Notamacropus eugenii: one gene and its partners. The protein of the gene in region 3 interacts with the protein of the main gene of each other region in a pairwise test. Links are inferred from orthologs where the notes say so. Each region holds a gene or a part of one and is shown on either strand. Other genes may lie near its edges. The genes, in order: KIAA1958, GRHL2, LMO4 and PDE4DIP.

The links.
Region 1: the proteins of LMO4 (region 3) and KIAA1958 interact in binary tests that used the Homo sapiens proteins (3 or more experiments, as listed by UniProt). The two-hybrid records come from large-scale screens. The link is inferred for Notamacropus eugenii from reciprocal best matches to the Homo sapiens genes LMO4 and KIAA1958.
Region 2: the proteins of LMO4 (region 3) and GRHL2 interact in binary tests that used the Homo sapiens proteins (3 or more experiments, as listed by UniProt). The two-hybrid records come from large-scale screens. The link is inferred for Notamacropus eugenii from reciprocal best matches to the Homo sapiens genes LMO4 and GRHL2.
Region 4: the proteins of LMO4 (region 3) and PDE4DIP interact in binary tests that used the Homo sapiens proteins (3 or more experiments, as listed by UniProt). The two-hybrid records come from large-scale screens. The link is inferred for Notamacropus eugenii from reciprocal best matches to the Homo sapiens genes LMO4 and PDE4DIP.

Annotation. Positions count from the first base shown.
Region 1 is NC_092874.1:402,317,954-402,324,803, reverse strand, and holds the start of KIAA1958 (uncharacterized protein KIAA1958 homolog), read left to right. Parts: upstream 1-3,846; 5' UTR 3,847-6,850.
Region 2 is NC_092875.1:149,734,166-149,741,725, reverse strand, and holds the start of GRHL2 (grainyhead-like protein 2 homolog), read left to right. Parts: upstream 1-4,540; 5' UTR 4,541-4,606; coding exon 4,607-4,626; exon of another isoform or gene 4,627-4,704; intron 4,705-7,560. UniProt on the Homo sapiens protein: Transcription factor playing an important role in primary neurulation and in epithelial development. Binds directly to the consensus DNA sequence 5'-AACCGGTT-3' acting as an activator and repressor on distinct target genes.
Region 3 is NC_092873.1:497,020,483-497,028,500, forward strand, and holds the start of LMO4 (LIM domain transcription factor LMO4), read left to right. Parts: upstream 1-5,010; 5' UTR 5,011-5,146; intron 5,147-7,592; exon of another isoform or gene 7,593-7,746; intron 7,747-7,830; exon of another isoform or gene 7,831-8,000; intron 8,001-8,018. UniProt on the Homo sapiens protein: Transcription cofactor. Plays a role in establishing motor neuron identity, in concert with MNX1, acting, at least in part, to disrupt LDB1-LHX3 complexes thereby negatively modulating interneuron genes in motor neurons.
Region 4 is NC_092873.1:300,438,031-300,445,086, forward strand, and holds the start of PDE4DIP (myomegalin), read left to right. Parts: upstream 1-4,056; 5' UTR 4,057-5,050; coding exon 5,051-6,175; intron 6,176-7,056. UniProt on the Homo sapiens protein: Functions as an anchor sequestering components of the cAMP-dependent pathway to Golgi and/or centrosomes.

The DNA of each region.
Region 1 (6,850 bases), on a different chromosome or scaffold from region 3:
TTCCCTCCTTAAGCCAAATCCAGTGAGAGGTTCACTCTTCCCCTCTCACCTCCTTCTCTTCCCCTTCATTTAAAAAAGCTTTTTCTTGCCTCTTTAATTCTATTTCTCCCTTTCTCCTTCTCCCAATATATTCCTCTCTCATCCCTTAATTTTATTTTTTTCAGATATCATCCCTTCATATTCAACTCACCCTGTGCCCTCTGTCTATATATATATATATAATCCCTCCAACTACCCTAATACTGAGAAAAGTCTTAAGAGTTGCAAATATTATCTTTCCGTGCAGGAACGTAAACAGTTCAACTGTAGTAAGTCCCTTATGACTTCTCTTTCCTGTTTATGTTTCATGCTTCCCTTGATTCTTGTGTTTGAAAGTGAAATATTCTATCCAGCTCTGGTCTTTTCATCAAGAATGCTTGAAAGTCTTCTGTTTCACTGAGTGATTGTTTTTTCCCCTGAAGTATTATACTCAGTTTTGCTGGGTAGGTGATTCTTGGTTTTAATCCAAGCTCCTTTGACCTCTGGAATATCATATTCCAAGCCCTCTGATTTCTCAATGTAGAAGCTGCTAGAGTTTGTGTTATCCTGATTGTATTTCCACAACACTCAAACTATTTCTTTCTGGCTGCTTGCAATTTTCTCCTTGACCTGGGAGCTCTGGCATTTGGCTTCAGTATTCCTAGGAGTTTTCTTTTTGGGATCTCTTTCAGGAGGTGATTGGTGGGTTCTTTCAATATCTATTTTACTCTCTGCTTCTAGAATATCAGGGCAGTTTTCCTCAATAATTTCTTGAAAGATGATGTCTAGGTTCTTTTTTTTTGATCATCATTTTCAAGTAGTCCAATAATTTTTAAATTGTCTCTCTTGGATCTGTTTTCCAGGTCAGTTGTTTTTCCAATGAGATATTTCACATTGTCTGCTATTTTTTTCATTCTTTTGGTTTTATTTTATAATTTCTTGATTTTTCATAAACTCATAAGCTAATAAGAGCTTCCATCTGCTCCATTCTCATATTTAAGAAATTATTTTCTTCAGTGAACTTTGGGAATTCCTTTTCCATCTGCCAATTCTTCTTTTTAAGGCTTTTTAGATCTCTTTTGCCATTTGGGTTAGTTTATTTTTTAAGATATTATTTTCTTCAGCATTTTTTTGGGTCCCCTTTAGTAAGCAGTTGACTCGTTTTTCATGATTTTCTTCTATCACTATTATTTCTTTTTCCAATTTTTACTCTATACTTGATTTTCAAAATCCTTTGTGAGCTCTTCCATGGCCTGAGACCAATTCATAGTTTTCTTGGAGGCCTTTGATGTAGAAACTTTGACTTTGTTGTCTTCTTCTGTTTGTATATTTTGGTTTTTCTTGTCACTAAAGTAAGATTCTTCAGTCTGATTTTTTTCCTGTTTTTGCTCATTTCCCCAGCCAATTACTTGACTTTTAAGCTCTTTGTCAAGGTAGTTTTCTGTTTCCAGTGTGGGTGGGGAGTGTACTTTCAGCTGCTCCATCGTCCCAGTGGGCATAGAGCTCCAGAAACAGCCGCTGCTGTTTCTGCTACTACTGCTATGGCTGCAGCTGTGGCTGCCACAGTCTCCTCAACCCCCTCTGCCACCCTGGGGCTGGGGCCAGACCACTCTACTCTCTCACACAGGTCATACAGATTTTTTTCCACTGACCTTCCAATTTATCCTCAGTGTTTCGGGGTTGTGAAGTCTGAAAGCCACCACAGGTGCCAAAAATTCAGTCCCCTTCTTAGTCTGCTCAGGTCCTGTCTCTGCCAATGTGGCCAACACTGCACTGTGCTCAGCTCCCAGCACAATGTGATAGATGCTTCCCATTGATCTTCCAGGCTGTCTTGAGGTGGATATTTGGTTCACTCCATCATTCTCTGTTTTCTGCATCTCCAGAATTTGTTTAGAGTCATTTTTTAGAAGTATTTGGCTGGGTTTGGGGGGAGAACACTAGCTAGTCTCTCCTACTGCACCATCTTGATTTTATCCCTCCTAGACCACACTTCACAAATATTATAACAAGTATTTTATCCTTACAATAACACCAGGACATAAGTGCTATTATTACTATTCCTATTTTGTAGATAAGAAAACTGAGGATCAAATAAGATAGCATATATAAAGTGCTTTGCAAACTTTAAAGCTCTATATGAATTCTAGATACTATTAGCAATTTTTTGTTATTTTCTTGTTCAGTCATGACTGTCTCTCTTTTTGTGACCCTGTGGAACCATTTTCTTCTCCAGTATGTCCCCATTTTACAGATAAGTAACTGAGGCAATTAGAGGTTAAATGACTTGCCCAAGGTCACACAGATATTAAGTTTCTGAGGCTGGATTTGAACTCAGGTCCTCTTGACTCCAGGCCTGGTGCTCTATCCACTGCACTACCAGCTTACCAAATAGTGGTAACCAATTTGTAATGGAAGCTCAAAAGCACTGAAGAACTCAACCTAGAAGGAACAATAAGAAATTGACAGCAGTGCAGATCACATAGTCTAACACTCCTATTGAACAGGTGAAGAGTGTTAGGTCCCTGTAGGGGAAGTGGTTTGCCTAAAGGTAAGGTACATATAGGTAGCAAGTGACAAAGAAAAAGAAATTGAAGTTGGGTCCTCTCTCTCCAGATTTAAGGGGCTTATTCACTCCATTGCATTGTTTCCAATAAAGTTTTCCTTCTTAAATTATGAAGTCTTTTTTCAAGAAAAATGGATAGTGTCAGGCAATAATTTTCTCAAGTTTTATGCTCATGAACCATATGCCAAAGTAGTGAAAAGTTCCTCCAGTTGTTCCCTGGGCTCTTTGTGTCATATGAGAGGCTGAATATATATGATCGTTGACTAAATTTCAGGAATAAACCTGAATGTCTTCTCGAGTAACTGACTTAATCCCAACATCCATAAAAACCCCAACATTCTAAATGAAAACAAATGAGTTTCTAGGACAATTTCCTTGATTGAAGATACAAGTACTTAGCTGAGGGTTAAATGGAGAACAAAGATAAGCTTTGATCACATTCTTGAGAAAATTGGGGACTGGCAAAATGAGCCAATGTTACTTTGAATTCATCTAGTAGACAAACAATAAAATATTACTAAATGCCTGAGACTTCCTTTCAAAAGAGGGACTAAAAAAAACCCCAACAGAAATAATTTATATCCTGTGTGACCCAGGGCAAGACTCTTAACTGTAATTGCCTCCAAAAAAGAGGATGGAAGAGAGGGGGGGGGGGGAAGGGAGGGAGGAAGGAAGGAAGGAAGAGAGAGAGAGAGAGAGAGAGAGAGAGAGAGAGAGAGAGAGAGAGAAAGAAAGAAAGAAAGAAAGAAAGAAAGAAAGAAAGAAAGAAAGAAAGAAAGAAAGGAAGAAAGAAAGGAAGAAAGAAAGAAAGAAAAAGCTAATGATGTGGGGCACATAGGTGGCACAGTGGATAAGAGCCCTTGGCCTGGGGGCGGAGCCAAGATGGCGGAGTAGAAAGACTCACATACACATAGCTCCGAACCCACAACCCATAGAACATCTACAAAAAAGTAAGGGGATAAGCAGGGTGGGGGGGATGATGGAAGGGAGGGCACGGGGAGGAGGGAGCAATTGGAGGTCAACACTCATGGGGAGGGTCAGGATCAAAAGAGAGAACAGAAGTAATGGGGGACAGGATAGGATGGAGGGAAATATAATTAGTTCTTACACAACACTACTATTATGGAAGTCATTTGCAAAACTACACAGATCTGGCCTATATTGAATTGCTTGCCTTCCAAAGGGAAGGGGTGGGGAGGGAGGGAGGGCAGATTGGCAGACAGGGGCAATTAGAACGCTTGGTGTTTTGGGGTGGGGGGAGGGGACAAAAGGGGAGAAAATGTGGAACCCAAAATTTTGTGAAAATGAATGTTAAAAGTTAAATAAATTAATTTAAAAAAAAAAAAAAGAGCCCTTGACCTGTGGTCAGAAAGGCCAGAGCTCAAATGTGACCTCAGACACTGTGTGACCCTGGGCAAATCACTTAACCCTTGCCTACATAAAATGGGAGAAGGAAATGGCAAAGCACTCCAGTGTCCTTGCCAAAAAAAAACCAAACCCATGGATAGAGACCATGGGGTCACATAGATAGTTGGACATGACTGAATGACTGAACAATAGCAACAATTATTCTTTATGCCTGCTCCACCTATTTCATTGTGCCATCAGCTTCTGGTGCAGGGCAGGACCCTACTGCTCCCTGCCTTCGAGAGAGCTCCTCTTAGCCACATGAGGTTCAGCTTTTATAACTAAAAATCTTGATATTTCTCCTTTCTTTCTGACACCTGGGAAGGCTTTCTTCTACCTGAAGGACCAGTCTTCATTTGTTCAGCCAGTGAAATGCCACAGTTGAATTTTAAGTCTTTTTAAGTATGAAGAATCTCTTAAGCAATTAGGTGGGATTGTCCCAGTGACTGAGAGCTATAAAATTATAACCTCTCCCAAATTGGAGGCAGGCCTTGAGCCCCAGGGAAACTATTCTCCCCTAAACTTTGAAAAAATTCATTTTGATTGACTTGAAAGGGAGGACCAGGAAGCTGATAGCACCAGCAATAATGACAACTATCATTTTATGTAGCAATTTAAGTTGTGTACAACTCTTTATATGTATTATCTTATTTGATCCCTACAATAACCTTGCTGAGAGCTCAATGCTATTATTACCCCCATTCTCCAGATAAGAAAAGTAAGACAAATAAAGGTTAAATGATTTTCTCAGGGTCATATAACTAGTTAGTATCTGAGTTCAGATTTGAACTGAATCTACTGTGCCACCCAGTTGCCTATTAGTAGTATAGCTTCAGCCACAAGTAAGTCCAGGGAAGAGAGACTTTTTAGTTTCATAAATTAAATTTGTCTTTTTTGTTTCATTACAATATGATAAAAAGGGAATAGTTTTATGAATATCAAAGAGATTCTGATTGTTAGTGGCCTAAAACATTAGTTAAGGTATCCAGGCAAAAGGACCTGAAATTAGACTCTTGGAAGAATTAAAACCCTTTATCTTACCTGGTTTTCCATTACAGTCAAATAGGATAATAGGTTTAGAATTGGGTGGAACCTTAAAGTTCCACATCCTCATTTTACACATGAGGGAACTGAGGCCCTTGCCTCATTAAACTTGCCAAGACTGGACATTAGCCAGTGTTCTCTGATGCCAAATCCCATTCTCTTTTTCTCAACAAACATTGATTAAGCACTGTAGCAGGTTTATCATGAAAACATCCCCAATTATTTTTATGAATGGAAACTTACACAAATACTGAATGTTAGAAATTTTTGTCACAGGTTTGGAGTTCTGTTAGGGAGAAGATATCCAACCACTAATCCGGCAATTAAGCACTTCCCTCTCAGACATAAGGAAGATGAATTTTCAGTACTAGGGCAACATTTATGACAGAAAGAAACAACCATTGTTGATGTTCTCGGGAAGTTTAGATCATTTTTGTTATTTTAACTAGTTCTTTTCAATTAGGAAAAAAGAACAACCCAGAAAAGTTAATGGTACCTCACAGAACAAATACGATGAAACTGTAGGGACACTTTTCATTATTTTAATGCAAGCGGTCAAGTTGTACCAAATACTAAAGTCTTTTCAATATTTTATGGATTTTCTTTTGCCAAGGTTCCTTTTGGTTCACTGTAATAGCAGATAGCATGAGACTGTAATAGACAGCCAGCTTAAATGTCTGTTACTTCACATTTGTTACTTTGGGGGAGAAGAGTTCCATTTGTTTGACCAATAATAGTTTTAAATTAATTTATATGAATATTGTATTTTCTAACCAAAATTTAAACAGACTTCATGATGTGCTTATTGATTACTTAAATCCTCTGTGGGTGTCCTTTATGGATTGGAATCCTGAGGGATGGTTTAGCTCTGAACTTTTACAAGCCTAAACTTATTGAATTTATTTGAGTCAATTCAACAATCATTTTTTAAAGAGTCTACTATGTGCCGAATACTGTGGTGGGCTAGGGAAAGATACATAAAGATGAATTTTTTTAAATCCCTGCTCTCATGGAGCTTATAATCTAGTGGAGGTCTATGACAAGTACACAAGTAACTAAAAGAGACAAAAACAAATTTCTCTGTGACAGCAGAGGAGAAGGGATCTAATGGCTCTTAGGGGGATGCTTATGGGTTCATGTTCAACCTAGTTCTGAGAAATATTGTTGAATGTAAATTGAAGGGTCTAGAGTTCCAAGTCCTAGTTTCTTTCATGTCAGTATCTAGCTGTATTGTCTTGGTCAAGTTATATATTTCTCTGGGTTTTAATTTTCTGTTATGTAAAATAAGGGGATTGTTTCCAAAAATCTCATGACTAAAATTAGCTCTAATATTCTATTATTATATTTCATTCCTACAATCATTGAAGATAAGATTATGCAGGACTTGGTGATGAATATTTCTAGTTATTTATTCATTAGAACTTATTTTTATTTATACATTTTTTATAATTAATCATATGCAAACTAGACTTAGAGAAGTTTTGTTGATAAATTTTATCTTTGACTTTTTATTTCATTGAGATGTCATAAATAAAGGAAATTGCATACCACTCCAGTATCCTTGCCAAAAAAAGCCCCATGGATAGAGTCCATGGGATCACATAGTTGGATATCAGTCAACAACTAAAGAATAATAAACACAAATAATATTTTTTTAAAAAAGGAAATTTTCTCTCTTTAACTGCAAAAGGAAAATAATACTGGTGTAGAGTCAGAAGATCAGAATTCAAACCTCTCTACCTCTGAATACCTATGGACCTTAGGCAGATCACTTAGTCCTCTTTAGTTAGACCTGGTTTTCCTCATTTTTAAAACTAT
Region 2 (7,560 bases), on a different chromosome or scaffold from region 3:
CAGAAAGAAAAAAAATTTCTGCCCACTGGGGCCTTACATTCTAATGTAAGTAAGAACACATACATGGGCATAGCTAGGTGGCTTAGTGGATAGAGGGTTAGGCATGGAGACAGGAAGACTTTTCTTTCTGAGTTCAAATCTGGCTGGAGACACTAACTGTGTGAGCATGGGCAAGTCACTTAATCCTGTTTGTCTCAGTTACCTCATCTGTACAATGAGTGAGAGAAGGAAATGGTAACCACCAGTCTTTCCAAGAAAACCTCAAATGGGAAGAGTCAGACACAACTGAAAAAAAATGTATATAGATAAGATACATACAAAGTAGATATGAGGCAATCTTAGAAGTGAAAGAACTAGCAACTAGGAGGCTTTCCTATAGTACATGGCTTAAGTTGGGTCTTGAAAGAAGCCATATATTCTAAGAGGTAGAAATGAAGAGGGACACCATTTCAGGCATAGGAAATGTGCAAAAGCCCAGAGATGGAAGATGAGGCACTGTGTGTGAGGTACAGTAAGTAGACCAGTATGGTTGAACTATAAAGTACATAGAGGGAAGTGAAATATAAGATGAGTAGGACAGACAGGGCCAGATTGTAAAGTTTTAAAGGCCAAAGAAAGGCATTTATATTTGATTTACAATTCTATTTGATCATAGAGGTGATAAGGAGTATGTTGTTCAGTCCAATAAGGAGTAATAGGAGTCTGAATAATGGGGTGACATGGTCAGACCTGATTCTTGAAAATATCACTGTGGCAACTGTGTGAAGGATCAAATGAAGTAAGAAGATACTTGAGGTAGGTAGACCAAGTAGGATGCTCTTGAAATAGTTTAGATGAAAGATGGTGAGAGTTTGAGGAAGGAAGGGGATCTATTTGAGAGTGATGTTGTGGAGATAGAAACAAGATCTGACAGCTAATTTGTTATGTAGGTTGAGTCAGAGTGAGCCGTTGAGGATGATGCCAAGGTTTTGTACCTGGATGACTGGAAGGATAATAATGCTCTAGCAAGAAAAGATTTGGAAGAGATGTAGGTTTGAGGGAAAGGATAATGAGTTGTTTTGTACACATTGAGCTTGAGATGCCTATGGGACTTCAGATTGGAAATGTCCAATAGGCAGTTTGTGATGTGTGCCTGGAACCCAGCAGAAGAACTAAAGCTCCTTGCGTAAATCTGGAAAGTCATTTGCATAGAGATCATAACCAAACCCATTGGAACTGATGAAATCACCAAACAAGGGCATTGTTTTTCAGTCATGTCTGATTCTTTGTGACCTATAGAGTTTTCTTGGCAAAGGTACTGGAATGGTTTGCCATTTCCTTCGTCAGCTCATTTTACAGATGAGGAAACTGAGGCAAACTGGGTTAAGTGACTTTCCCAGGGTCACACCACTGGTAAATGTCTGAGGCAGGATTTTAACTCAGACCTTCCTGACTCCAGGAGAGGTGCTCTATCCATTGTGTCACCTAGCTATTCAATGAAGGGGTACAGAAAATAGAAAAGAGCCCAGAATACAGTCTTTGGGTATACTACCAGTGGATATGACATGGATGAAGATCTTTGTTTCTTTTACTGCATCTTCTTCATGTCACTGTGGGTGTCCTCCAAGATTCTATCAAGAGCCCTCTTTTCTCTCCATACTATTTCTTAGTGATTTCCTCAGCTCTCATGGATTTAACAACAACAAAGCATTATATTTAGACTCATTGCTCTAGACTGATAGACTGTGAAAGATGAAGAGACTTTAAAGAACTCATCAATTTTATCCTACCTCCCCTCATTCAAAGATGTAAAGATTTCATGTTTATTGCAGTTGATCATGGAATAAAGTAATAAGCAGAACTGGGATTAGAACTCAGTTCTCTTTGAATTTCAGACTATTGCTCTTATTTTTTTTTAAGTTTTGTGATTTATTTGACTGTCAGTATTTTGAGTACTGTTGTTTCTCTGAATGTTTTATTAGAAAATACTTTTTCTTCTTAATCTTCAAAGGTCTGCTTTGCTATAGTCGTAAGTGTGATTTCCAATATATTTTTTTCATGGAAACTATATCTGATTTTATGACTGAAGTTGATGAGAAAAATAGAATCTATCTTCTATAAATTTATTTTATAGCATACTTTACAAAAACAGTATTGCCTCTCTTTTGTTAATCAAAGAATAACTACTTTACACACAATTTAATGATGTCATGTTGACCTGTCTCCTTAGACAGTGAAACTTCATTCAATCTCTAGTGATTCTTAGGGGAATATTTTCAATTTAGGCTGCTATTGAGTTATTTGTTGTGAATAGAATGGTCTGGCCAGCAAACTTAAATTTTACTTTTTCAATCAGACCCTATCAATGGTTGCAAATGCACTGCCACAGCATCCGTTTTCAACACCAGATGTTGCATCTTGAAGCAACAAATCTGCTTTATTTAAAGTGTTTCATATTAAGAGTAGGTAGCTACTTCCCCCTCCCTCCCCTTTTCTCCCCTCTCCATTTCTTTGGGATAAGTTGAGAATCACCTCTTAACAACTGCAAAATTCTCAAAAACGAAACCTCACTGAATGTAATCTCAAATTCTTGATTGTTTAGAGGCCAGTTATAATTTGGGGATTATGCAGATCTGTTAATGGTTTGTTATTATTCTCTACCTATCGACTATCTGTTGATATGGACATAAACCTAAACAAAAACTCAATTTTGGTACTTACTGGTACCTCTCAAATTATTTAGTAACTGAGAAAGTTTAATTTATTGGATAACATTAACTTTTTGGATTTTCAATTTCAGCAAATCATTCTGGCTTTCCTCCATTTATTCAGATCTTCAAGGACTAACTGCAAACAATATTAATTGGATAACGAATACAATATATCTCCTGAAAATTAACAAAATAATTAGCAGGTCAGAAACATCCGGGCAGAAAGAGAAAGAGAGCTTGAACATCTATCATAGTTTACTGAACAAAGTCTTTGTAAAATAGTTCCATTTGGGTGTATCACCATGTTTGACATAAACAATTTAGTCAAAATATTCAGAATGAGCTATATGTAAATCTTTATTTCTTCATGGGATGGAAGCGAGCCAGATAGTAATAGTCAAATCTTAATTTCCATGATGTATTTTCCAAAGAGTATTTGATCCAGAAGGATAAAACAAAATCTTAATCTCTTAGACAATCTCTTTGACTTCAGCCTGAAATAAAAGGGTATATTTTCTAGTGCTTTTAATACTTATTTAAAGATCCTCCATGTTTTTTGGCTAGGTTCTCCCTGCTAGCCTCCCAAATCAAGCAAGTTCAAGTGTTAGGTGTCACACTTTAGCAACATATAATTGTACACTACCTATTTGCTGTACAATGTTGCTTCCAGATTCTAGAAATGTAGTTATGAAAAATGCAGTTTTATCCTTAACTGTCACCCTAGCAACCTTACTAAGCTGGAGGGATAAAGCACCTTTGTAGTGGCTGCTTCTATTGAATTACAATGTAAATGTTGATGCATCCCTGGGAAACATCAAATGACAACAAGGTGCTGGGGTGTTGTGGAGGGGCTGTGGAGAACACAGATCTAGCACTGGTTTGCTGCTCTGGAATCCAAGTCTTCAAAGTACTTGTCACCCAGGAGCCCATAATGGTTTCTATTTAACAAAACTTTTCCACTCCACCCGAGAACAGACCAAACCCAAGAGTAAAATGTTGCACACGTTTTGTTCTTCTGCACTTCAAGATCTTCAATGTTGTGCGTAAAGTTGGTATTCTTTTTTATATAGTTTTCGTTTCTCTTATTTTGGAAAGCATAAAGTAACTTTATTTCTGTTTTCCACCCCTGTCAACCAGCCCTCTTCATGTAGCCTTAAACTGTGTTTTGAACTGTTTTGCTCGTTCGATCAGAGCTAGCCTAGGATACTCGAATTCAGTATTGTTAACTTTCTTTGTCTTTAGTTTGACCGACAATTCCACGAGTCTGCAGGTGCTGGCTGTTTTCTTCCAAGGCCTTAAGGAACGAGGGAAATGTAGCATGAAGGAGACTTGAAACGCCCCGACCCAATCAGGTCTTCCTGAGGTTGCTCCAGAGCCCGGGGCTGCCCCTGCCGCCCTGGCTGCGGCTACTGCTGCTGTTACTGCTCAGGTAAACTTTGGAGAGTTACCTGCTCTTGGAGAGGGGCCTTACCTGAGCGCCTATCTGCCAATGGTAGCTCACCTGAGGGCTCCCCGCAGCCAATCAGCGCGCAGCTCGTCCCTCAGGCTTGTACCCTTTAGTGAAAGAATTCGGCTCCTAGCGAGAAAGTTACCTGTGGCCGCCCAAGTCCTCCACTTTTCGCCCGCTCTGTGCCTCCCCTTTGCCACCAGCGAGGAGAAGCTAGCAGCACCCCGCCGCCTCCGAGCTCTTGCCACATGTGAGGGGGGCCCGCTCCTTATCCCACCTTTCCGGCTAGGTGAGGGAGCGAGCAAGCGAGAGAGAGTGGTTGAGGGGGAACGGAAAAGCAGAATTACCTGTACCTCTGGTTCTGCCATCTCGGGCGCTCGCACACACCTTCACCTGCACAGACTTGAAAGTCCAGTTTCGCCAGAGACTGAGGCACCAGGAAAAGGGGAGAGAGTTCATTGGATCAAACATGTCACAAGAGTCGGACAAGTAAGTGGATCACACGCTGCTGCTGCCGCCGCCGCCGCCGCCGCCGCCGCTCCTACTACTCTGGGCTGATGGCAACTGGTTTGTCGTTTGGGGCTTTTATTGTGTGTTATTGTGTTTGATTTTTTCCCCCTCTTTTGTGCATCCGGACCGTTTCGGATTGTGTTTCTTCCCTGATGAGGGAAAAGGATTAAAAAAAAGCCACAAGAATAGGAAAGTTGAAGAACTCCTTTGGGCCTTGCTCAAGAAACTAGTTTTTTACTTTCCTCTAAAAATGAATATTTTTCATCCTCTTAAAAATAATTAGACATTTGCAGGGTTTTTAGTGGTGGGACAGTAGTCTTTTCCCTGACTTGATAAACCCTCCCCGCCCTCACCCCTCAAACGTTTTGGGGGAGCCTTTTTCCCTTTGAAAGTTCAGCCGAGGTTCCTCGATTTTTCCTACAGGCCCAGCCACAAAAAAAGGTTCTTCGCTTTTGTGTGAGAGCAACAAAGAGCTTTTATATTGAAGTACAAACGGCCATCTTCCCCTCACCCTGAGTGTGTGTGTGTGTGTGTGTGTGTGTGTGTGTGTGTACGTGTGTGCATTGTGCGCGTGAGCCCGCGTGCGTGAGTGCGTGCGTGTCTCGCTCCGAAGCCGCGAGCAGTTTGGGGAGCCCAGCCTTCCCCCAGGGGGTGCTACTGGATGGCGCCATCTCCTCCCCCACCACTAAATCTCCTTCTCTCCACCTCCTCCCCTCTTCCTGCCCCCGCCCCAATTCCCTTTATGATTTCCCTGTCTGCTTTGTGCCCTGGGAAAAGGGCCTTTCAAAAGTGAGAGGCATTGATTCCCGACAAGAACCTGCTTCTCAGCAGTGGCTGGTGGCATTGACCCCTATTCCCCTGGATGTCTTGTCAACACTAAATCACTAAAGTAAAGCATCCCCGCCCGCCCCCCCGCCCCCCAACCTCCCCCCACAAACGTCGCTGCGGCCCAACTCCTAACACTGAAACCTGCTGCTCAACTTAAGGTCCCTGCTTTTGACTATAGGTCAGGAGGCCTTAAAATAATCAGGTGCTTGTGTTTGCTCTCTTTATTTAATTATTTATTTTTTCGTGAAATTCCCTCTTGCTTTTACAAATGGAAATCTGAGAGTTGGAAGACTGGGAGGAAGTGAATCAGGTGTATTTATATCAAGGAGAACAATAAATATCCCTTAAAGTCAGGAGTTGAAATGCACGTCTGCTTCGTAGAAAAGAAATAATGAAATGGCTCTTGTGACACTGCGAGGGTGGAGGGAAGGGGTGGGGTGGGGCCGCTGGCCGAGTGGGAGTCAGGACAGCCCGTAACTAACGAAGACTGTTACTAAGAAGTCCCGGGGGCCTTCAATTGGGTTCCGGGGCGCTAGACGATCCAGCACACTCTCTTGTGACTTCTGCGCTGTGCTGGTCGCAGCAGCCTCTCCCAAGCCGGCCTGGTCCCCGCCCTCTCTTCAGGCTTTGTGATGGGAGGGGGGAGGGGGAAGCTGGAAAGAAAGGGAGCTGGGGGTTGGTGCTTGTACATTTCATTGGCTTGAATGGCAGCTCTCCCCTCCTCACTGCGTCCCCAAGTCCGAACGATCCTCATCCAATTGGAAATGCGTCGGGGTTCTTTTTTTTTTTTTTTTTTTTTTGCTTTTGCTTTCGCTGGTAACTTTACCCCAGTGTTGTGGCCGAAGCTGAGACCTTCCTGATTGTGTCATTGAGAGGCCAAGCAGCCCAGCGCCTGGAGGCGGCCAACTGCTTGCTCTTCTTTGGAAGAATTTTGCCGGGGGCCACACTCTCGCTTAGGGACCCTGGAGGGACTTGAGGTTGGGCGGGAGTGCCGGGAAAGTTCCAAGGAGAGTAGAGAGTTTGAGCCCGGACTTTCTGTGGGGATGGTGACCTCACCTCAGGACATAAGGACTGTCTTGTAGTTGTAATCGTCCTCATCGACGTGAGCCACAGGGACTGAATATTGATAATATCTATTAAATTTACAATACAAATATGTTGGGCACCAAAGACAGTTATTGCAGCTGCAGGTAAATAGTGGGTGTGTTGACTGGTGTGTATGTATGGAAATGGGCATGACTTGAAACTAGTTCTTTCTTAGCAGCCTTTAGGGAAATACCAGTTTCATGCAGATGAATGTAGTTTTTACTGGATTTCAAAACTTCACGTCCAGGATCAAAATGCCAAGGGTGTGTGTGTGTGTGTGTGTGTGTGTGTGTGTGTGTGTGTGTGTGTAAAATGTTTGCCAACATGTGGTAGGAAGGCAGGGTTTTGACTTCTACTGTATACATCTTTAGTATTTTATGGTGCTGTAGTTCCTTTATTTGTATGGTACAAGGACCATTTAGCCTAGCAGCTTAGTTTTATTTGTTATTTAACGTGAGGCAGAAAATTCCTTAATGAAAACACTTTGACGTTTATTTAAACAAGTTACATTCTATCCCAGCAAGGACAATTTGTTTACTGTTCAAAACAAATTTTGAACTTTAATGATTGACTTTGCAGTATGTTTTAATATTTTAATTTTCAATGGAATTCAAATCAATTCAACACACTTTTATTAAGCACATACTGTATGCAGAGCCTTTGCAGGACCTTAGTACTATAATAATTTCTAATTCTTTTCTGTCTGGAGAAAATTAATTGTGCAGACAAAATTGCAAGAAGACAAAACAATAAACTACATTATCTATACATGTGTTTCTGAACTGGAATTATTGAGAAAAACTTTTCAAATCCAACAACAAAATAACTTTTCTTGATAATGTAGGCTCTCTCTCTCTCTTTTTGAATGGAGAATGCTCCAAAGTAGGCTTGTGTACTGTTGGGGAGAGGGACAGTTTCAGAGACGGTACATAAGGCTCAGTTCCAGTTCTACCATCTTCCTTCAATAGCTCTTCACTGATCTCCCAGTTAGTAGTGAAC
Region 3 (8,018 bases):
AGGAAAGTGAAATCAAGTTATGTTGCTGCTAAATTTGATTTTCATTCTCATAAGGTTATCTGATCTTTAGCTGAAGAGACCTTAGAGATACATGCCTTTCATTTTACAGACGAGGAAATTCACACTCAGAGGAGTTAAGTGAATTGGCCAAGATCAATCAGATATAACTGAAGCAGAATTTGAACCCGGGTTTAAAAAAAAGCATGGTTGTGGAAGATAATCTAAATTTATTATGGAAATAATTTGGTGCTGCAGAAACGTGATTTGGAGATGTTGAAATCCTCTCTCTCCTACTTAGTATGTGACCTTGGGTAAGTCAGCTTCTCCAGGCTTTAGTTTACCTGTCTGTCAAAGGGGATAGTGGAACTTAATGGACTCTAAGATCTCTTCCAGCTCCAAATTAATGATCCTATCATCACAAAAATCAAATTTAGTAACGATAAGAATTCAGTTTAGCATCCCTCTGTGTGTGTGTGTGTGTGTGTGTGTGATTGTGGAGGGGCAGATGTTGGACCACATAACTTCTAAGGTCAGTCCTAGTTTTATTCCTATGAACCTCTAGGTCAGGGGTTCTTAACCTAAGCTCCATGAATTTGGTCTCTTTAAAAATATATATTTTGATAATTATTTTGATATACTGAGTTTCCCTTGTAAGCTTACGTATTAAATGCATTAAAAACCTCATTCTGAGAAGAAGTCCATGGACTTCATTAGATTGCTAAGGGGGTCTATCACACAAAGGGATACATAACACATGCCCTAGGGCAAGAGACCCTTGGTTTTATTTGTATTTGATTATGCTGAATGATGAAAAAGGAGGTATCATCCTGACTTACATGCATTGATGATGCATAATTACTTTTATGCTGTCAAATAAGTGTGGTTCTGTTCATGCAAGATATCTTTCCCCAGAACCAATGACTTCTATATAGCTTAGTCTTAGACTAACTGACTTACTTGCTCATGGTCCAATTTTTAATAAACATGTAAGGCAGGACTGGAACCCAGGGCTTCCTAACTGTAGATCTAGCATTTTATCTACTATGCCAGACTACCTCTCAATTATTTAATAACTTATAAAAAATAATAATTTATATCATAATTAATACTATAATCATTGAAATAAATTGTAATTCTTTAGATTATAATTAATTTAATAAATGAATTAGATCTATAGATATTATTGTTGTAGATATTATTTTCCATCATTTTGAATTTTGAGATTTCCTCATAGATAAACCTTCCCTGCTTTGAAAGAACAACACTTCTGTGTGTATGTGTGTTTAATTTTTCTGCAGCATCACTAAGAAAAATAGCCAGAAAGGCCTTTCAGATTCTAAACCTTTATAGCTCCTCTAGAATAGATCAGAAAGTCCATGTGAAGGCTAAACCTGCAGAAATAAAGATTACCCAGAGGTGGCGCTCTGGTTAAAGTACACCTGGATTTTGATTACCGTGTACTGATTTACTCCAGATGCCTCTGAAGAGACATCGTTAACCATTATCTCTTTTGTATTTATGCAACCACAACCTCAGCAAACAAACATCGCTGGTAAAAACACTTCCCTCCACATGGTCGGTGAAGATATTACTCCTCAGACCAGAGGGTTTGAACATCCTTTAATCCAGGAGCAAACCAGGAGGCCTCTTTTAGCTTGCTTGAAGAATCACAGAAGAATCCACATCTACATGGGCCTTGCCAGTAGCCTAGCTTGCCCTTAGCCCTGGATAGGACTAGCTTCATTCTCACCTCGATGAAGGGCATTTTGCTTGAGAAATATACCTGAAATGTGCTTTTCATTATAGGCCTAAATTTAATTGTACCCCCCATCATGAACTGGTGTTATTTCACTTTTATGCTGGTAAATTATTTACATGGGAAAAATTGAGTTAAGAAATTAAGATCTGCTACTTCGATGTGCATAGAATTCTCTCTTCTGTTTGGTTTTGTCTGAGCCTTCTCATAATCAGATAATCACAGACTGAGTGGAGGTTTTGGTTTGGAGATTTTAAGGCGCTGTCTTATATTTCTACACTATTGAATCCTTTAAGATCACATTCCTATCTGTCATAACCATGGCAGAGTGAACCATGGCAAGACCTGGCCTCACTGTCCCACCTCTGACGCATACTGGCTATGTAAGCCTATCCAAGTTCCTCCAATTTCTGTATATAGATTTTAATGTATTGTCTTGTCTCATTACAATGTGAACTTTTTGAGGGCAGGGACCAAGCATTTGCATTTCTTTCTATTCTGAGCACTTAACTTAGCACAGTGCCAGGCACATAGTAAGCTCTTAATAAATGTTTGTTAACTGATGGACTAACTTCTTCCTCTTGTAAGAGTGTCAATTACAGAGAGGTTGCGAACCTGAGGGAATTCCTTAGTACAGTTCCAACCCAAAGTGAAAGAATTAAGAATATTACAAGTTTTGATACTGATGGACAAATTTCAGCATTGTGATATTTTAAGTTAATTGAAGAATGTTAATTTAGATATCTAGCAGAACATTCTGTATACTTTGCAATATACTACAATGCAAAGTATGCCAGATGGGGATTCTTAGGACCTGAGTGTGAATTCTGACTCCAACCTTCACGGTGCATGGTTTGGAGCACTTTTCTGGGTCTCAGACTCCTCATCTCTAAAATGAAAAAGTTGAACCAAATAACTTCCCCTTTAGCTCGAAATGTTGGATACTGAAGTTGTTTATTTTAAACCATTTTCTGCTATTTTGGGTGCATAGTCACCATTCAGATATTATTGCTATTTCTTTGAAAGCCTGAATTTTGAAAATCTGTAAAACTTGCAGACAGTAAAATCACAGCCTGTGAAGAGGGAGCCCTTCTAACTGGGTTCTTTGGCCAGTCTTCTTGTCTTCTCATCAGCACAGAGTATGGAAGAGATAAATTTATCCCACAGGGCTGATTTCATTCCATTTCCTTAAAAGGATGATAAGAGGTTATAGTCCAAAGGGAAATTACCATCACCTAGTCCTATCAGAAACTGAGATACAGAGAGGTTAAGAGGCCTTGTCTACTATCACTTAAGAACTGTAGGCTCAGGAGTCAGACCCAGTTGTCTGACACCAAGGCCCAGACTCATCTACTAAACCGCAGCTACCAAAAGGCCTTTGTCCTTGCACAGCTATTTTCCAGGACCATCCCTCCATAACTTTCTACTAACAATTAGACCTAATATTGGCCCAGCAAATAGGACTTTTATTACCTCATTTGCAGCTTAAAGTTGAATCCTGAGTTGAAACTTTAGAAGCTGACAGCAGGAGGTAGAGGGAAGAGAGACCCACTTGCAGGTTCTTTGACTGTGGGTGTTCCTGGGCTCTAACATGCTGAGAACATTGCCTCCAAACATATGATTTACGTTGAAAGTGAGCTTCCTTATTCTCCAAAGCATGCATGATTGCTAATCTGGCCTTATTGTTCAAAACTTTGCTTCTGGATGCCTGGGAGAAATGGGTTCCTCTTCTCCTCAGAGCAAGCTGACAAAGGAGGGCATGCCCAGTTAACGCCTCCATCAGATTTCTTCAGCTTTGTCTATGAGCCCAGGATCATCACTGAGTGTTCCCTGAGAGTCTACTAAGTGCGTTGGTTTATGTCTCGGTCAAGGGAGATTAAAAAAAAAGTCTCCCCTCTGAAAATTTCGCAGGGAAAAGCAAGATGATTGCTGTTTTCCCCCCATTAACAAAACTTCCCTTTAAGTTTCTGAACCCCAAACATCAGAGCTAACAACTTTGTGAGTGTGTGTGTGTGTGTGTGTGTGTGTGTGAACCCCACCCGTCCCTTGCTCCTGGGACAACAGCAAAACTGCTGGATTGGAACTTGAGGACGCCCCCTTCACCCATTTAGGGGGGTACGGGAGTGTCTTCTGTGAGAGATGCCAAAGTTTTCCCAGGGCCTAGACTGGGGATGTCCCCGAAATCCTTGAGAACTAGGAAGCGTCCCTGGCTCGGACACGCAAGGGAGAGTCCTGCGGAGGCAGGGGCAGCGGCGGGCAGCAGCGGGGGTCCCTGCGGGCTGCCGCCGCCGTGCTTCCCCACCTGCCGCTGCCCTCTCCTTTCCCCCAGGTTCCCTCCACTTCTTTTCCTCCTCTCCCTCTTTCCTCCCTCCCCCCCGCCTCCGGTTTCAGTCATCCCTTTGTCCTCCCCCGGATTGGCAGGTTTTATTATTCCGCCTGAACAATCCGGCCGCGCAGTGGCTGAGGGCCGCTGACGTCGGCGGCTGAGCTGGAGAGTAGTTGGGATTCTGCTCTGTCAGTAACACATGTGTAAGAGCCGCGGAGGGAGAGCGCGAGCGGGCGAGAGGCCAGCGCCGCCTTGGAGCCGGGCAGCGGCGGCGGCAGCAGCGGCAGCGCGGACAGCGGCAGCAGCCCGGCCTCGACCCGGCTGTCGGGCTTGGCCCCGGCTCCGCTCGCGCCGCAGCCCGTGCTGGCACTCCTGCGGAAGGCTGCTCTGAGTGGCCTGGAGGGACTCCGCCTGCCCGCCCGCCCAGCGCCCAGCGCCCGCCCGGGCTCTCGTTGTTTCCGCTGCTGCCGCCGCCGCCGCTTTCTGGATCTCAGCAATCGCCGCCGCCTCCGCCAGACCAGAGCGAGCGAGGGAGGGAAGGAAGGAGGAGGAGAAGGAGGAGGAGGAAGGGGGGGCCGGGAGGGCGGGGGGGGGGGTGCCGAATATACAAAGTGAAGCCACATTGCCAAACTTGCAGCAGCGACTGCAGCAGTCGCCGCCGCCGCGCCTGAAGCCGAGCTGCTCGCGGGGCCCGAGAGCCAGCCAGCCAGCCAGCCTTGCAGCTGCTCGGGCGAAGCTGGAGGAGGAGGAGAGAGAGAAGGACTGAGACGGAACCCTCCGCTCCGGGGCCGGGCGGCCACTTCGCTGGGGGGCACCCGACCCACCAATAGAGCCGCGCATTAAAAAAAAAGAAAGAAAGAAAAAAGATTACCTTGTCCCACCCCTCCTCCTCCCCCCTCCACTCCACTTCTGCAAGAACTCGCTCCCTCCCTCCCTCCTCCTTCCTCCCATCCATCTATCCATCCAGCTCCATCAGTCCAGCAGCCCGGGGAAGCCGAGCGAGCGGCTCCGCGGAGATCTCGCCGCCGCCGCCGCCGTCTTTTTGCAATATAGGGGAAAAACAGGTAAGCGGACTTGCTGGGGAGAGGAGATGGGGCGGGAGGTGGGGGGGAGGGCTGGGGGTTGGTGGTGCTGGTGGCCCGGAGACCGGGAAGGGGGGGAGGTGTCCTGTACCGTGGTTGTTTTCTTTGGCTGCTTTCCCTTCCCCGTCCCAAATTGCAAGTAAACAATACGTCGGCTTAGATAATGAGGGAGTCTGAAACTAGAGGAAGGCAGGCTGGGGGGCGGGCTGGCAGGCGGGTGGACCGAGCAGGAGGCCGGCAGGCCGGCAGGCAGGCGAGCACCAGGGCCGTCAGCTTTGTAGCGGTCCCTGCTTACAAAAGGGTTTGTTCGAAGAGGAGGGCTTGGGGGGGGAAGGGGGGGAGCGCCTTTCCAGCCCAGAAGTGAAAGGCTTTGCCTGTTTCGGTTATGAATTGAGGTGGGGAAAAATAGTCTTGCCTCCCTCCTCCCCCAACCCCCCTTCGCCCCCCAGTAAACACTATTTTTGAAACAGTGGCAGAAAGGATCAAAGTGGGCAGGGTTTTTGTATTGGTGTCTTTTTTTTTAAAGAAAAAAATTCCTTTTGGCTTATAAGTCTTTTGTTTCAATCCAGGAGAAATCCGGTGAATCACCTAATTAAAATCAAGACATGAATTAAGCATCCATTTTTGTACTACAAATTGCCAGCCCTACGCCTGTCCCTCCCTTGGTCTCCATTAAAAAACACCAGAGACGTTGTTAAAGGGGGGCTTATTTTGCCTCTAGCTGCCAGTTCTGCTTTCTGTTTCACTGACTCTATCCCAGGACCTAAATTGCTCGGCTATGTAATTACTAGAATATAAGCCTATTTAACTTAAAAGCTTTTCTTTTTTTTTTTCCAACTCTAAATGAAACTTGATGAGGGCCCGTCCTTAGTTATCTGGGGAGTCAGTTTCTGGTCAGTCCTTGATTCATCATCTCTTTTAGATTTAATCAGCATTAAGGTATTGCTTGTCCTTAAGAGCTTTAGCTAATGGGGTTACTGGATGCTTCTGCTCAGTGTAATGTTTCCTTTAAAAAATTATATATGTACATACACATATGTAATACACACATTATAGAGAATATACACACATACATACACATATATTTACATACATATGTTTACTTCACAGCAAAGATTCAGGATAAGCAGCATGGAATCTCTCCCCGTCTCTCTGTCTCTGTCTCTGTCTCTGTCTCTGTCTCTCTCTCTCTTCTCTCCCCCTCTCCCCCCCGCCCCCCTTTTAAAGGAATTCAAAGCGATTAGAACGTAAAGGGAAACATTTTTAAGACTCTGGGCAGGAAATGCAGATTCATTTGGGTTAGGGCTGAAATTGTAACAAAAAGCAATTCCTCGAGTAAATGCATCAGATAAATCAATTTACATAAAGGTATGATGCATTCGGATAAATGCAATGCTAATGGGTTTTAGAGTGGTCCTGTTTCCAAAGTCTCGGGGTTTTGTTACAGCTTAATTGGTGGAGTTCTTTTTCTGGTTTATTGTGTGGTCACTAGAGACACGTTCAGGGACGCTTTCGGAGGAAATGTGTTTAAAAATCGGCCTATTTTAGGAACCCGGGGACTTGGGGCTTGGTGCCCTCCCCTCTTGCCAGCTACCAAGTTGGGCCAGGGGCAGGCAAAAAAAAGTTCGCCGTCTTTCTTCGGAGGTATCAGTCTGAATGCCTTTAGGAGATGGCCCAAAGCCTTGGTATGAGTACACACACTCGGCTTACAAAGGACAAAGACAAAAACATGCTGCTTAATTGGCAGTAAATAACTTGATCTTTTTATAGTATAAGTGACTGGAGGAACACTAGGAGTTTATTGGACTCGGGATCGGAGGCCACAAATTAATCGGTTTAGTCTAAGCTTTATAAATTGATTCCTATATTATTCCCCCAGTTGCTGCCTCTCTTGTGGCATTCATTTAGAAAGTGTGGGGGAATTTTTTTAAAAGCAGTTTTTGGTGACAGCCTGGCTAGCTCGAATTTAACTAGTGTATCCCTTGATCGTTCTCAGATTATCCCCAAAGTTCTTCCCTCCTCCTCCTTCTCTCCCTACCCCCCCCCTTTTTTTTATGGAACAAAGCTTTAGCATTTAAATTACTGATCAAGGGCAGATTAGCGAGACAAAAGTGGAGTGTGTTTGTATAGGAAGTTAACAGGCGTCCTAAAGTTCAATGATCTATTATTCTGGCCGGTGTCCTGAAAACCCAGAGAAAACACTCATTGATCTTCAGAATGAAATGAGATTTGGAACAATAATGGGAGATGGCCGTCACCACAATGGCATGTGAAAGGTGCTGTTTAAAAAATCCGAAAAACCAGTTTCGCAACTTTACACACTGCACTGTTTCCCTCTCTCTCCCTTTCCCCCCACTCCCATCCTCCATCCCCCTTTCCCCTCCCACCCCCACTCCTTCTATTTCCCTCTGCTCCCTCTCTCTCTCCCTCCCTCTCAGGAAACTGAAGTGTTCCCAACTTGAGCTCCAGCTGCACTTCCCAGAGTTGGGCATGATATAGGGGTAGGGGGCTGCGGGGGGTGGGAAGCCTGGGCTCGGCCCACTGCTGCTGCTCGTCCTCCTGCCTCCGCTGCTGGGGCTGGGGTAAATGACCCTCATTTGCTAGAGGCTAGATGCGTGCCGAGGTGGGGGTGGGGGGAGATAGGCGGAGGCTGGGGGCGGGGAGTTGAGAGTGGGTGGGTGGGAAGGAGGGAATCGCACTGCAGAGCCTCTCTCGCTAGAAGACTTTGACAGTCGCCAAGCTGAAGTTGTCAGTGTGGGCTGCTCAGCAAAGTTCCGAGGGAGCCTCTTGGATTCGGAACCGAGCCCTGAGAACAGTGCTTTGGAAAGAGGGTCTGGTTTGTGCCCCTTCCTTC
Region 4 (7,056 bases), about 200 Mb from region 3:
TTCCGTCAGTCAGGGCAGATCAAGGCATACTCCCTACTAGACAGATCAACAGCTGCATTTCTGAAGAATCTTGTTCAACATGTCCTGACTTAAAACTCTTACTAGAGGGGGCCCAGAAAATGTAATCAAAGGAGACTGTGAGACTTCTTAATTTTATGTTGGGTATTTCACAGGATTTCAGAGCTGGGAAAAAGGATCCTCCTTCCAACACACCTCATACTGACAGCCTTTGATTGAATTGCTTTGATTTGGTGACAGGACCATGATATGTATAATTAAATAAGATATCATAATTGGAAGGAAGGGAGGGAGGAAAAAGGCATTTATTTAGCATTTACTGTTTATCTGGGATATGTGAGAGACCAAGGATACAAAAGCAAGCAAAAAGAAAGACAGTCCCAGTGCTTAAGGACCTTACTTTCGGACTTGGGAAGGTAACACCCAAAAGGGAGCTGGAAAGCTGGGGGAGGGGAGAAGACATTGAGGAGAAGGTCTCCTCTCCCTTCACCTTCATTCTGAAACTTGGAAGTCAGGAGTGGAACCAGGAGGAGAATAAAGACTGCAAAGTTGGGGGCTGAACCAGGAAGGGAACAAAGTTTGGCCAGGCGTTATACCCCCTTCTACAAAATGGAGGCCAAAGGAGGAATTCCCCTGTGGGGGAGGAGGGTGGACCTAGCAGAGGGATAGACTTGAGGAGGCTCAGACTTGAGGGAAGTTCCAGAATGAGGCAGGGGCAGAGGTTTGGAAGTCCAGAAGCGAGGGACAGGGCTGGTATCTCAAGACCCCAGAGCTCTTCAACTCTCCAAACCTAACCCCTCCCCCCAAATGGAACTGCTAGCAGTTTGTTTGTGTTTTCTTTAGCTGAATATCAGGATACCCGGGTTTGAATATTTGCATACCAGATTGAGGCGCTAAAGAAACAGATGGTGCAATTTATTATGATTGCATTCAAACCCTACTTTGGAATCTTAGAACTCTATTTTGGGGCCGAAAATTTCAAACAGCAGAGTTATAAAAGTATCTGTTCTCTGTTGGGAGGCAAGGCATTTGTACTGGGTGCCACATGGGACACTGAACATGTTCTCAGAGATGGCTGGTGTAACTGGGAACCTACTTACCTGGGGATTTCTCTTTTGTTTTAGTGTATTGGTTTCCCAAACTTTTTTGGCCTACTGCCCCCTTCTCAAAAAAAATTACTCAGAACCCCTATGGAAATCTATTTTCTTTAACCTTTTAATTAAAAAAAAATTGTGTCATTTAAAAAAAGATGCATCTTAAATTTAATAATTTACTGTATACTTGTGGTTTTTTTCTGCATTGGAATTTTGATGATGCAATATTATGTCATGTAACTGTATAGTATCGTATTATAAACATGCACATATTCCTGTGGATGCATGCTGGACTTCTTGACAACAAGCCTACACCCCTACCAATACTTACTTGTTAAGACCTGCCCTCCAACTTGACCACTGATGAGTTATAACTTGCATTTTGTGTGTTTATTTGGAAAAATAATGTAATCACTACGACTGATACACAACAGATGAAATGTGTACCAATATTTTTGTTCAAAATTATCTTCTTTCCTTATACTTCTACTGCCTCTTACTTTTATTCAATACCCACCACCTGCACCTGAGGCTACTACTGCCCCCCCCCCCCCCCCCATCATTCTAGCACCCCCTGGGGGGGTGTTCCTACTTTGGAACTTATATAGGGTTGGAAAGAGCAGTGAACTGAAGACTAGGCCTCTAGTCCTTGCTCTACCCCTTTACTCACTGGGTGACTTTAGACAACACGCTTAATTCCTGGGATTATCCTCTGTAAAATAGGGATCATAATAATTACACTCCCTTTTTTTATTGACCTATAAAACAATGTATGCAGTTATTAGACTGGACATGAGCTGCACCAAACTAAGTTCAGTGCCTTGCTCATAAAAGGTACTTAAAAAAAAACCTGTTTAATGAATTGAACCAATATATGGGGATCGAGCCAAATATCAGTCTTGAGCATAGGATCAGACCACTAGAGGAAACCATCTAGACCAATCCCCATATTTTGCAGCAAAGGAAGCTGAGGGCCAGAAAGTTTAAATACAGTCAGTAAATGTCAGAGGTGGGACTTTGAATGTGGAATCTCTATCTCAGGAGTTCTTAACTTTGTGTGTGTGTGTGTGTGTGTGCCCATGTGTGTATGATGGACTTCTTTGGCAGTCTAGTAAAAGCCTATGAACCACTTCTCAGAATAATGTTTTTAAATGCACAAAATAAAGCACATAGGATTACAAAGAAAACAAAGTATCGTGGAAAGATTAATTTTTTTTCATCCAAGTTCATGAAACCCCTGAAATCTTGTAGTTCATGGAACAACCCCCAGATATTAACACCTATTCTATCTCCAAAGTCAATTACTACATTCACAATTAAAAAGTTGCAGCTGGGACCTCAAGAGTCCTCTTATCTATCACCTTCATCTTAGAGACTGAATCTTGGAGAACTGAGTCAGGGAGACCTGAGTTCAAATCCTGCCTCTAATACTTAACTATATGTATGACCCTGGACAAATCACTTAACCCTATTTGCCTCAGTTTCCTCATCTGTAAAATTATCTGGAGAAGGAGATGGCAAACCTTTTCAATATCCTTGCCAAGAGAGCTGGACATGACTGAAAAACAACAGAACAAAAATGAGTATCATAATAGAACCTACCTCACAGGGTTGTTATAAAGATCAAATGAGATAATATCTGTAAAGTACCTAGTACAATGCCTGGCACATAGTAGGGGCTTAATAAATGTTTCTTTCCCCCTGAAGTCATTATTAACAGGGTGAAGATTCAAATCCAAGTTCTCCACATTTTAGCCAAATCCAGTGTTCTTGCTCTATGTATGCCTCTGGTAAAGGGTCCCTCAATGCTTCTTAAAACTCACTCTCCTCAGCACTGATCCATCTTTCTCAGCCACATCACTTGTGAAATATCCAACCCTAGGCCTTTTTCCTTGGTGCTCCTCGTTGGAACTGAATCAGAGGAGCATATCTTTTTGTCTCCAAAACTTTCATCTTTACCTTTTTTTTTTTTTTAAAAACTTTCTTCCATCACTGAACCCTCAACTCCAGGTATCTTCCGACTTCCCTTGGTTCATAATTCTGTTTAGCTCCCTGAGTTTCTAGATATTGGAAAGAAGTGGGGTGTAGAACAACAACAACAACAAAAATCAGAAGACCTGGTTTCTGGTCCTGCCCTGACTTTTTCTATCTGTATTTTCTTGAAGAAGTCACTTCTGTTTTCTCATAGATAAAAAAAAAAAAATGAGATTGGATTGGATGACCTTTTCCTTCTCTTCCCCTTCTAAATCTATGATCTGCCCCACCTAACTCCAAATGACCATTTCCCTCTTTTACCATAGCCTTGGTCTGGTATTCAACTCCCTCTTCCCTTTCTCACTTCTCTCTGCCACAGACTACTAAGTATAGAGTGGGTTTTCCACGACTTTTTTTTTTAAACAAAAGAAGAGAGAATAAAAACATCCAGGAAAAAAATCCCAGGATAAGGTAATCAAAAATTCATTTAAAACTCCCCATACTGAACGGTGCCTAAGATAATCTTGAACTAAAATTCCCTGGCCCTAGGTCAGACTTAATGACCTTCTCTAGATAATGATTATCTGGCTCCCTTATGGCCCCAAAAGAGAATCTGTTCCCCCCCCCCCCCCACCTGTCCTCTTCTGTTAAAATAGGATTTGTTCACCTGAATGTCCTGAATTGAGCTCGTTGGCCTGTTTGTGACGATCAAAAGCGATAACTTATGCAAACCCGCCTGAACTCTTTAAGGCTATATAAATGGTATTATTATGATTGTTACCCTTCCAGATCCATTCTCACTCAATCCCAATACATTACGGATTGCACAGAAGGTTTCTGGAGTGTTCTGCCTCCTTGTCCAACCTTGCACTTGCAAGGATATTTTCACTCGGGCCGTTGGCTCGTCCCACTAGGTTACGTTATTCTCTATTTCCCATGCCCCAGGAGAAGTCCTCGCCTTCTCTTTTTCCTGGATGGTTTGAACTGAGTTATAGCAGGTGTGGTGGAAGGACATTCCTTCGTCCCAAGACGAGATCTCGAATCCATAGAGAACATTTCAAGACGTGTCCGCTGTCTGAAAGGATGCCCATGCAAGGGCTGAGCAGGGAGGGGGTGCGGGTAGGAGGAGGCGAGGGATGGCGCTGCCAGCTCGCACCGGGGTACGTGGCACTGACTGTCCCCGAGGCTGAAAGGAGGAGGAGAAAAAGAAAGAGGAGGGAGTTCTCTCTCCCCTCCCCTTGTCCTTGCGCAGGAGGAGCAACCAGTAGACGGACAGCTCTGAGAGACTCAAACTGCAGGATCTGGGGACCTTTCTGGGCAGAGACCGAGCTGGCAAGGTTCACCGCTCTCGCCCCCTCCGCTGCTGAAGCCCACCCTGAGGATCGCAGAGACGGGGATGTCCAAAGGCTCTGCGCGCTCAGCCACTTGGAGCCCCAGTCCGGGTGGACTGCAACTCCCAGAAGCCCTTTACAGTTCCCGCGTGCGCAGAAGCCCCTGGCGCCATCTTGAAATCTGATCCTCAATCTCTGAGCTGGAACGTTAGTGGCGGCGGCTGCTTCGGCGGCCCTGAGCTGGGGCAGTGGCTGCGGCAAGAAGAGGAAGAGAGGTCGGAACGCCGTGCCGGTGGCTGGATGGCCGAAACCAGGATGGCGGGTTCAGAAGGAGTCCGGCGCCGGGGTCGCTTGGCATCCCCTTGAGTCTCCCGCCGGCGGACAGCCGGTCCACGAGGGGCGGGGACTCCCCGCGAGTGGTACCCAGAGCGGAGCGCGCGTGCGCGCCCAGGTAGAGGCACAGGTGTGGGGCAGCCGGGAGAGCGGGTGCCCAGGGGCATGGCGTGCCGCGCCACGGAGCCCCCGAGTGAGTGAGCGCTTCCCAGCCCGTCCCACCCGACCTTATCCCTCGCCCGTCCCTTCCCAGCTCATCCCCTCCCGTCCCTGGGAATCCAGGCACAGCCAGGACCGAAGATGAAGGAAATCTGCAGGATCTGTGCCCGGGAGCTGTGCGGCAACCAGCGGCGCTGGATTTTCCACACCACCACCAAGCTCAACCTCCAGGTGCTCCTGTCCCATGTCCTGGGCAAGGATGTCTCCCGCGATGGCAAAGGCGAGTTTGCCTGCAGCAAGTGCGCTTTCATGCTGGACCGCATCTATCGCTTCGACACCGTCATCGCCAGGATCGAAGCCCTCTCCATTGAGCGCCTACAAAAGCTGCTGCTTGAGAAGGAGCGCCTCAAATTCTGCATCGCCAGCATGTACAGGAAGAATAACGATGACCCCAGCACCGAAGCCAAAGTAGGGAATGGGACTGTGGATATGTCCAGTTTACCAGATGTCAGATACACGGCTCTGCTCCAGGAAGACTTTGCATACTCCGGGTTTGAGTGCTGGGCAGAAAATGAGGACCAGACTCAAGAAGCTCACAGCTGCCACACTTCAGAGGGCCCTGGAAACAGGCCCAGGAGGTGTAGGGGCTGTGCTGCTTTAAGGGTTGCTGATTCTGACTATGAAGCCATTTGTAAGGTACCCCGAAAGGTAGCCAGAAGCATCTCCTATGGGGCTTCTACCAGGTGGTCTACCAGTATATGTACTGAAGAGCCAGCCTTGTCAGAGGTTGGGCCACCAGACCTATCAAGCACAAAGGGACCAGCAGATGGGGAAAGCATGGAAGAAGGAACTCCTGGTTCCTCCGTGGAATCTTTGGATGCTACCGTACAGGCCAGCCTTCCACAACAGAGGGATGAGGAACCTGAGAGAGGCAGTAAAGAACTCCCAAAGTGTGATTGCTGCTCAGATGATCAAGCGATCCAATACACATGTGGCCACAAGCTGGAACTAGCGCTTAACATGATTAAAGGTTTTGACTATAAACCCATCCAGAGCCCCCGAGGGAGCAAGCTTCCTATACCAGTGAAATCCAGTCCACCTGGAACCAAGCCTGGCCATCTCATGGCAGATGGGACCAGTCCCAATTTCCTAAACAGGCCTGTGAAATCCCTTTCCAAGACACCTGTGGGTTGTTCCCCAGAGATTTCTGAACTGCAAGAACTGTGGGATGATCTCTATGAGGACTATTTGCCGCTCCGGTTCCAGGTAGATGATATGTAATACTATGACAATTCAGTTTTATCAGATGACGCAACTAGATTGTCTCCAGACTTTCACATGGCTTCTAATTAGTCAAAGTTAACCAGCAAAGTTAACCAGTCAAGTATTCTAACTCTATTCTTCCTTGACTTTCATGCTGCCCATATTTCTCTTGCCACTTTTTGGTGTGTAGGTAAATCCATTTGCAGCTTTGATTCTGCATGCAACATCAGTTGACCCCCCCCCCCCAAAATTTTTTTAAGCAAAAAGATTCAATCAACACTAAATTCTTAGTAAATGTTGTTTCTAAAAAAGGGCAGACAGCCTTTGCTCTAATGCTATCCCTCTCTTGTTTACCTCTTCCTCTTTTAGTTTCACAACTTGATTGATCCTTTTCATTGTCAATGAGAGGGCTAGTTTTTTCTTTCTCACAGACTAGCCTGGAACAGTAATCTTTTTGTGTTCAAGTGCTCCCAAAGTGATTGTAGCAGATGGTAGAGTTTGAGGAAAATCCATTAATTAGTAAAATGCTATCAGAAAAATGTTTTTGTTCAGCTGCTGTACTTATTATAATTAAGGGCATCATTTGGGGGCTCTTCTTCAAGATGGCTTGTTTTATCCCTTGAGTCTTTTTTTTAAAATTGTTTTAAAGGCCTTGGGGATTAAACTAAGATATTACTTAAAGCATTTAGGTGAAAGTCACTCCCAGTCATCAATCCCAGGTGCATTTGTGCTGAGTATATTTTTCACGAAACTGAGGTTTTTACATACTTGTCTTATGGCAAGAAGACCACTTCAACTAGTATTTTGATTTCACTTTAATGACTTGAGAGAGGCAATTGGTCTTAATTCAGCCTAGACACTAGAGAGGTGCCATTTTGTTTCTA